Linked DNA regions of Mus musculus. The protein of the gene in region 1 purifies or fractionates together with the protein of each later gene. This does not show direct contact. Links are inferred from orthologs where the notes say so. Each region holds a gene or a part of one and is shown on either strand. Other genes may lie near its edges.

Region 1 (4,593 bases):
AGACGAGTTTTAGTTGATTGACAGAAGCAGCCAACTCAATCAAGTTCAAACACAGGTTTTAAGCAGAAAGGAAGATTTTGCAGCTCACCTGGCATTGGCAAAGGAGAGCTAGGTTTGTGTCTCTGTGCACAGAACTTTCCTAGGACAGTCTTTTCCTCTTCCCCTCTTTTATTTATTTTTATTTTATCTTATTTTTTTCAAGACAGGGCTTCCTGGCTGTTCTGGAACTAGCTCCGTAGACCAGGCTGGCTTCAAACTCCATCTGCTTCTGACTCCCAAGCGCTTTAATTAAAGGCGTGCGCTGCCACCACCACCATGACCACCAAGCTCATCCCCCTCTCTTAAAAAAGACATTTTCACTTTATGTGTATGGGTGTTTTCCCTGCATGTATGTCCACGCACCACCACAAACACGTTCCGGAGGCCAGAAGGGGGCGACAGATCCCCCTGGACCCAGAATTGCAGGCGAGGGTGCTGCAAATCCAGCACAGATTCCCATAACCTCTAAACTATCTCTCCAGAAAGGCCCTTATATCTCCTGTTTTTTGGACACATGGTTTCCTGATGAAGCCAAGGAGACTGGACTGGAATTCATGAACGACCTGCTTCAGCTTCTCAAGGGCCGAGACTCTTTATACACGTACACTGACGACTGGACTCGTCTCTCCTGAGATTGCTTTCATTCATTCTCCAGATCTTGCAGGTGGAGGGAACACGATGCTAATAGGTGGCTTGTCTTTCAGTTCTCACAGAAAACTAAACTCATCAACAAGCAAGCCTAGTCCTCCCCCTTTAATCTCCTGGTCAAGGACCTTGCCTCTCCTACAAGTGTCCATTCCTGTATTACTGCAAGAGGCCTGGCCAACCCCCTGACCTCCAGGGCGATCCAACTTCGCAGGAAGGTGACTCAAGCTGGAACTTTTTTTTTTTTTTTTTTAAATGCAGGTGTTGGATATCCCATCCATCCAATGGTGAAATATCTAGCTGCCCCTTTTTGCACTAGGAACTTAAAAAAAAAAAGCCTGTAAAGTCTTTCCCTTGGCCACCATAAGATTGGCAGGGTGAGTGGCGAAGCCATGACACTCCTCCATCCCCCAGCTCGGTCCTCTAGTTTGGGAGACTGGCTGGACAAGGCCTGAGCTCCACTGGTTTGCTTCAGGCAGACTGAGCTGGACCACGCCCCTGACCCTCGGAGTTAGGCTCTCCCAAGGGTGAGGTCCAGGTCTCCCTTCATTCCGGGGCTTCAGTTCCGACGGGGAAGTATGCCCTAATCCTGACCGGTGGTGCTTCAGGTCGAAATGTCGGCCGCGGGACCAGGGTAGCTGACCCGCCCCGGCCGCCGTAAGCTTCACCCGCCCAAAGGGTTGAGCCGGTCCTTGAGCATGAGGTAGTAGGCGGGGCAGCGCCCTCTGGACCCGCCCCATGCGGAGTGGCCCAATGGAAGCGCACTGTGCCAGGTCCCGCCTACACGGGAGGGGCAGAACTGCGCAGGCTCCTGAAGCGCCCGGGCGGGCCGGCTGGCTGGGAAGATGGCGGCGGAAGCCCTGGTCAGCGGCGCCGCAGAGGAGCGGGCCCGGGGTGTCCCAAGTGTGCAGCTTAGGGCCAGCGCCGGGCCATGAGCGCGCCGCCATCGAACCCTCGAGCCGTGGAGCCCGCCTGCGCCCCTTGCCATGGCGCGGCTCGCGGACTACTTCGTGCTGGTGGCGTTCGGGCCGCACCCGCGCGGTGAGTCTCAGCGCCGAGGGGGACGAGCTGGGGGGGACTGAGGGACTGGGACTGAGGACTCGAAGCTAAGAAGACCCGGCCGGAGGCAGGGTCAGGAGTTGGGGCCGAGCTCTCGGGGCTCTCGAAAAGAGGCCTCCGTAGTTATTGGCCACGGTGGCGTCGGGGCAACCCGCGAGGACCCCGGACGACATGGCCTGTGTAAGAAACATCCCTCCTACACCTGGGCACCTGCGTCGCTGTTCCGAGGTGGGCAGGGGCGTGTCGCTCGGGCGTGGGAGGCTGGAGGACCCTGCTGCAGTTCGGTCTCCCCGATTCCAAGTTGGGTGGGATGGGCTCACCCCGCCTTGGCCGCCTGCCGGTGGCTGGGTCTGGGAATTTCAGAGAGGGGGGCGGAACGTTTTCGTCTTCCAGCTTCTCTGACCCAGTGCTAGGTCTGAAGCCTCAAGCACCGCTTGATGGGGTGCAGTGGAGGGGGAGGGGTTCGTCGGTGGTATGGAGCCGGACTTCAGACGAAAGTGTCACACTTGGAGGAGAGCATTCCTGGTGTTCAAGCCTCTAAGCCAGGCCCCTCAGCGGGGGATCAGTGTGGTGATCTAGGAGGCCCTGATCTGGAGTCAGCACCTGTGTCTGAGAGCCCTTCAGTCCTGGGGGTAGGAGAAAACGGAGCCTGACAGTGACATCAACCACAGCCATGGAGACAACAGTGTTGGGGGGTGTTGGCTGGAGTCCTCAGTGTGCCAGGCCCTGCACAACCCTTTGTGTGTATGATCTCATTTCTCCCAATAGCCCACTGAGATTGCCTTGCTGTTGCCCTATCTTCAGCATAGAATCTGGCATAGAGAAGTTGAGTGTGTGGGTCTGGAATGGAGGCTGGGACTTGTACTCTGGCTGTCAGAGTCCACCTGCAGAGGGGCGGTATCTTAGGGACAACTGTGGCCAGATGAGGTAGCCCCTTAATCCCTAGATGTAATGCTTCCTACCGTGTTCCAGTTATCTATTCCACACAGTTATTCTGCTGCTTCTCAGACCAGCTGTCACTGTCACCATTCAGGACCCAAACTTTCTTCTTTGCCTTTCTTCTTGCTAAGTCTCCACTAGGACTGTTCCTTTGTTTAATGTCCACATGATGGACCCTGTATGCACTGGAAAACACCACCACCACCACCACCACCACCACCACCACCTCTGTCTTCAGATCTGTTCAGTACCCTCGCTTCTTTCTGCTCTCATGTATTCAAGTCTATATCTTTTGGCACTCAGTCCCGAGCATCTGTCTTTCCCTCCAAAGAGGGAGTTCTCAAAGGCAGAGACCACATTGTGTTCATCCCCCTGTCCTCCTTGAGCAGGAGGCTTGCCACCAGTGTTGTACTGGCACACACAGGGAGAACCTGTGCTCCAAGGCATAAGTGAAGGCCAGTGAGGTGCCTCCTCTGGAACGGAGGAGGAGTACTGCTGGAGAGTGAGGAAACCAAGCTGGCTGAGGGCTGGCTGGGGTCTCGGGCTGGGCGCTGGGCCAGGGCTGGAGGAATGGAATGGACTTGGATGGTGGTGAGAAGGTTATGAAGAAGGTCCTGTGAAACAGAATGTAGGTAAAGGCCAGGTTGGGGAGGTCTGCTGGGAGTGGAGTAAAATTGAGGGTGATGTGTGGGTAGCTCCATGGGAAGTTGCTGTGGCACGTGGGGGCTTACTGATACAGCTGTACAAGAGGTGTGGACCTCTGACCTCTGTACAGGACGGGATAGAAGGCTGAGGCCAGAGGTGGCTACTTTTCCTGAATCACCGGTGTGATGGAGTAATTCTCAGATTACCCATCACTGTGGCGACTGCAGGCCAGTGAGCTCTCTAAGCACTGCCTTCTAGGGTCAGAGTTGACTGGTTGTTGGCTGACCACTCGGCTTCAAGGCATTCCTTTGAGGAACCAGCCTGGAATCGGGTTTCTGGGTGTGGGCTGAAGGCAGATCTATAAGGCAAGGGATGTGAGTACCAAGAACAAAAGACCCCAAACTGAGGAGCACACTGAAGATTAGTTGTCCTTCCTTTGTCACTCTTCACCGTTGGCTTGCGCCAGTTACCGTGCACTCTCGCCTCAGTTTCCCCGTCTTTATATGGAATGGGCCACATGGAGCTGCTCTGAGGCTGTCAGGAACACTTATGCGTAAAGATATAGCACAGGACTGGCCCAAGGAGATAATTTACATCTCAGATCTGAGTAGCCGATGTAAGAACGCTAGGTAGGTGTTTCTGAAGAAGGTGAAGGGCCCTCTGTGTGCTGACTGACCTAGGATGCAGGGTCCTTTAGATTAAGGGAATACGCGTGAGAGGATATCTCAGTTTTGTTCTGAATCAGAACTTTTTCTCTGCAGCTGCTAGGAGTCAAACCTTGGTAATGAATGCCTTTTTAGAGAGGTAGCATTCTGGTTGCTAATGGTTACAGTTGGTGACTTGTGGGCAAGGCTACAGACAATAAATGCCTGAGCTGTGTGTAACCCTTTCCCTTAAGACTCTATAAAGTAGAGGGTGTAGATGGCACAGCATAGACCCCGCACCTGGTGAGTAGGGCTGTGTGCTTTGTCCTGTCACTGAACTGGACACCTTTTTTAGAATGAGGAACCAGACAGCATAGTTTGAGACCCCTGCCCAGATCCCAGACATGGTCACTTAATTGCTTGTAGCTTGGGGAGTCCTCAAATGGGAACACCAATTATCAGACCCTTTACATGACTTAAACCTGACAGGTACCCTTCTACTACTTCCTGTGAGGAAAAGCTACATCTCCATCAACCAAGAAAACTATTTGTATTTCATGACCTGGCCTCTTTCAGCCTTGATGGTAATGAGGTGGCCACATTCTTGGGCCCATCTACTGTC
Region 2 (3,500 bases), on another chromosome or scaffold:
AGAGAGAGAGAAAGAGAGAGAGAAAGGGTAGGAGAGAGAGAGTAGAAAAGAAAAGACAGAAAGAGAGCTAGAGAAAGAAGGAGAGAAAGGAAAGAAAGAAAGAAAAAGAAAGAAAAGGTTTCTAACTTATTACTTTACAATGTGCAGATTAAAATAGGAGTTCTAACGTGTTCAACTGATAACAGAATAAACAAAGGTTTGCTATCTGTTATATGATAATAAATACTGATATACATTTTCTGGATTTTGTATACAGGTGCTATTTGCATTCAACTATAAAGAAAAGTTTCCAGTTAATGGCTGGAAAGTTTATGATCCAGTGTCTGAATATAAGAGACAGGTAGAGTATGCCACTTGTCAAATGGACTATGATAGCTTAAATGTCTGTACTAAAAGGTTAGATATGTAGTAGTGGAGATGAAGCTGTGCAACAAATTGTACATAGGCCTAGCTTTCAAGCTTGTTGGTTCCTGATTTCCTGGGTGCCCTCTTCTGCTGTGCCAGCCTTTGACTACATTGTTGTCTAGTCATCATTTTCCAGAGGGATTAGTAGGATGTGTGCACAAAGATTTGAAACTCAGATTTCTGAGGAACAAATCTCCCTCCCTCCCTCCCTTCCTCCCTCCCTTCCTCCCTCCCTTCTTCCCTCCCTTCCTCCCTCCCTTCCTCCCTCATTTATTTTCCTCCTTCCTCCCTTTCTGCTATTTTCTTATATGCCTTTTCTATCCCACTGTCTGTCATCTTCTTTCCTACCTTCTTTCCTCTCTCCTTCTCCACTCTGACTCCCAGGATTATGCACATACTAGGCAAGTACTCTCTTACTAAGCCATACCCTATCTGCTTCCAGATGTTTATATCATAGGTCTCATAAAGAATTGATGAATAAGAATCCAGAATGCCATTAATTTAATTTGAGGCACTATTAGTTAAATAACAATAAACAAGTTATAAATTAATAAACATGATTCATACTTTGTTTTTTTTTGTCAAAGTAGAGATGAGTGTTTCCCCTTCTTCCTTCTCTAACATCCTACAGGGCTTGCCAAATGAGAGTTGGAAAATATCAAAAATAAACAGTAATTATGAGTTCTGTGATACCTATCCTGCCATCATTGTTGTGCCAACTAGTGTGAAAGATGATGACCTTTCAAAAGTGGCAGCCTTTCGAGCGAAAGGCAGAGTCCCTGTGAGTAATAAACTTTGTCATTTAGACAGGAACAATCACAACATTGGATCTGATAACAAAATGGAAGGTAGAAAAATCAGCTTATAAACCTGACTATATCTTTGATTCTTAAGAAATACATCACTATATAAGCACTCATTTGATCTGTCTCTTGTATGTGTCCTATTTCTAAATGCAAAGGTTCCTCAAGGTTTGCCCTCAGGGTACAGCCAAGAGGAATAGAGGAATGACAAGAGTGGATGTGCTGGTGCACCACACCTCATCGGTTGCACCATTCACTCTGGAGAAGATACATTCTTTCTTCCCACTCTGTGAATTTTTGTAGCTACATGGGAATAAAATAATTGTGCCCAGAAGGAAGGGATAACTTTTGCTTAGAGTTTACATCTGAATTATTTTGTGTCCTTGGACCACTGTAGAAAAATGGGAGATCTGGTGATAGACTTATAGATTTGTTTTTAATAAGAGACCTCACCCTGCTTTTTATGTTATTGTAAAGATATAATTTTTATATTAGAAAGATATAAATGTAGCCAGTCAAATAGAAATGGGACTAGATTTTAGTAATAGTTTGACTTAAGTTTTATTTTATTTAGAGTGATAGAATTTCAAGGGCAGAAAGGAATTTTAGGGTATCTAGTCAAATTCTTTCAGCATGACCAACACATTAATTCTCTTAGTCACTACAGTACCAGGACTAGCTTATGCACTCATAACCGAGGAAACTCTCTAGGAGAGATTGTTCTTTTTAACCAATTAATTAGATAATATATTATATTAGGAATGATATCTATCAGCAAGTATTTATTATTTGTTGCTTTAAAACATTAGGTGTTGTCATGGATTCACCCAGAAAGTCAGGCAACAATTACACGTTGCAGCCAGCCATTAGTGGGTCCCAATGATAAACGCTGCAAAGAAGATGAGAAATACCTGCAGACAATAATGGATGCTAATGCACAGTCACATAAACTTACTATCTTTGATGCCAGACAAAACAGCGTTGCTGATACCAACAAGGTACATGTTTAATAGCCTTGTAGAAAATTTGGGGTTGGTTGTTTGCTTGCTTCATTGTTTGTTTTTACATGCTTTCTATAAGTCTTCATAGTTTTAGAACAGGCCATTGAATTCCTTGTCATGTGAATATTGAGTTTCTTTGATGTAGTGTGTGGCTATCTCTCCCTCTTTAGTATTCTATGGACAATGTTTGCCATCCTACATTGCTGGAATCTTGCCTTTTTCATTACTTCTCCACAGTTTAGTCTGATGGCTCAATTAAGCAAATTCCTAGAAAGAGAACTACATAAATTAATGTCTATTTTCGTGAAACAACCACAAGCCCTTGGAAGTCCCTCTAGTAAATTTACTGATAATTTAACCAATTCATATCTTTTAAAATATATTTCATGTATTACTTTCATATATTTTTAGAATGCACTTAGTTATATGAAAGTGCAGAAATATAAATTTTGCTGTCATCATTAATGACCTCTTGGCTTTCATCAACCCCCATGTTGTTCTCACTATTGAGCCAGGCCCTTGCTCTCTTTCATTGGTTCCACTTTCTTTGCTGAACTTCCAATGGTAGCATTACTTGAACTTGGTTTGGGGTCCCCTTTTTGGTTCTACAACAATCTCCCAAGGTCATCTACTCAGAGGCAGGACTTTAAACAATGTTTCTATGCTGAGTTACACATGGAAGTATCTCTAGCCCTGAAGGTAGCCCAAATCCCCATCCTATTTTATGTTTGACATCTCTACTTTGCTGTCTCCAGGGTCACAAAACCTCAGTGAACTCCAATCCACCTAAGAGAGACCTTTGGCTTAGACTTGGATACCCCTGAGTTTTGCTGCACCAGTTATTTAACCTGACCCACAAGATGAGAGATGATAGTAGTGCTTTGTGCCAACATCTGTGTGATGATTAGAACTAAGTGAGAACAGTACCTGTGAAGGCCTCTACACCCCCAGTACTCCATGCATAAAGCTACGGAGTCAGCCCCTTCTGTGGTCAGCAATGTTACCCAGGATTCTGACTTGAAGTCTAAGTTATGGTGTTGGTTACTAATATGGGAGAAAAATGGGGTAGGGAGGATAGCGGTTTCCTGAGGCTGCCCTTTAAACTATCACAAATCCAAAAACCTCATAAAGTTGTTCTCTTTCTAAAGGTTCCAAGAGAGAGTCTACTTTTTATCATCTCTAGAGTCTCATGGCCAAGCCAGCACTCCTGAGCTTGTAGCCACACCCTGCAATTTACCTCAATTTCACTTGGCTTCCTCAAGCTGTGTGTGTTTCTATATTTCTTCCTCCT

What was found.
Region 2: the proteins of Sbf1 (region 1) and Mtmr1 purify together in Homo sapiens (affinity purification with mass spectrometry; 4 studies listed by BioGRID and IntAct, with this or other methods). This does not show direct contact. The link is inferred for Mus musculus from reciprocal best matches to the Homo sapiens genes SBF1 and MTMR1.

Annotation. Positions count from the first base shown.
Region 1 is NC_000081.6:89,312,194-89,316,786, reverse strand, and holds the start of Sbf1 (myotubularin-related protein 5), read left to right. Parts: upstream 1-1,475; 5' UTR 1,476-1,670; coding exon 1,671-1,725; intron 1,726-4,593. UniProt on the Homo sapiens protein: Acts as an adapter for the phosphatase MTMR2 to regulate MTMR2 catalytic activity and subcellular location. Promotes the exchange of GDP to GTP, converting inactive GDP-bound Rab proteins into their active GTP-bound form.
Region 2 is NC_000086.7:71,392,260-71,395,759, forward strand, and holds part of Mtmr1 (myotubularin-related protein 1), read left to right. Parts: intron 1-256; coding exon 257-340; intron 341-1,036; coding exon 1,037-1,186; intron 1,187-2,017; coding exon 2,018-2,206; intron 2,207-3,500. UniProt on the Homo sapiens protein: Lipid phosphatase that specifically dephosphorylates the D-3 position of phosphatidylinositol 3-phosphate, generating phosphatidylinositol. Could also dephosphorylate phosphatidylinositol 3,5-bisphosphate to produce phosphatidylinositol 5-phosphate.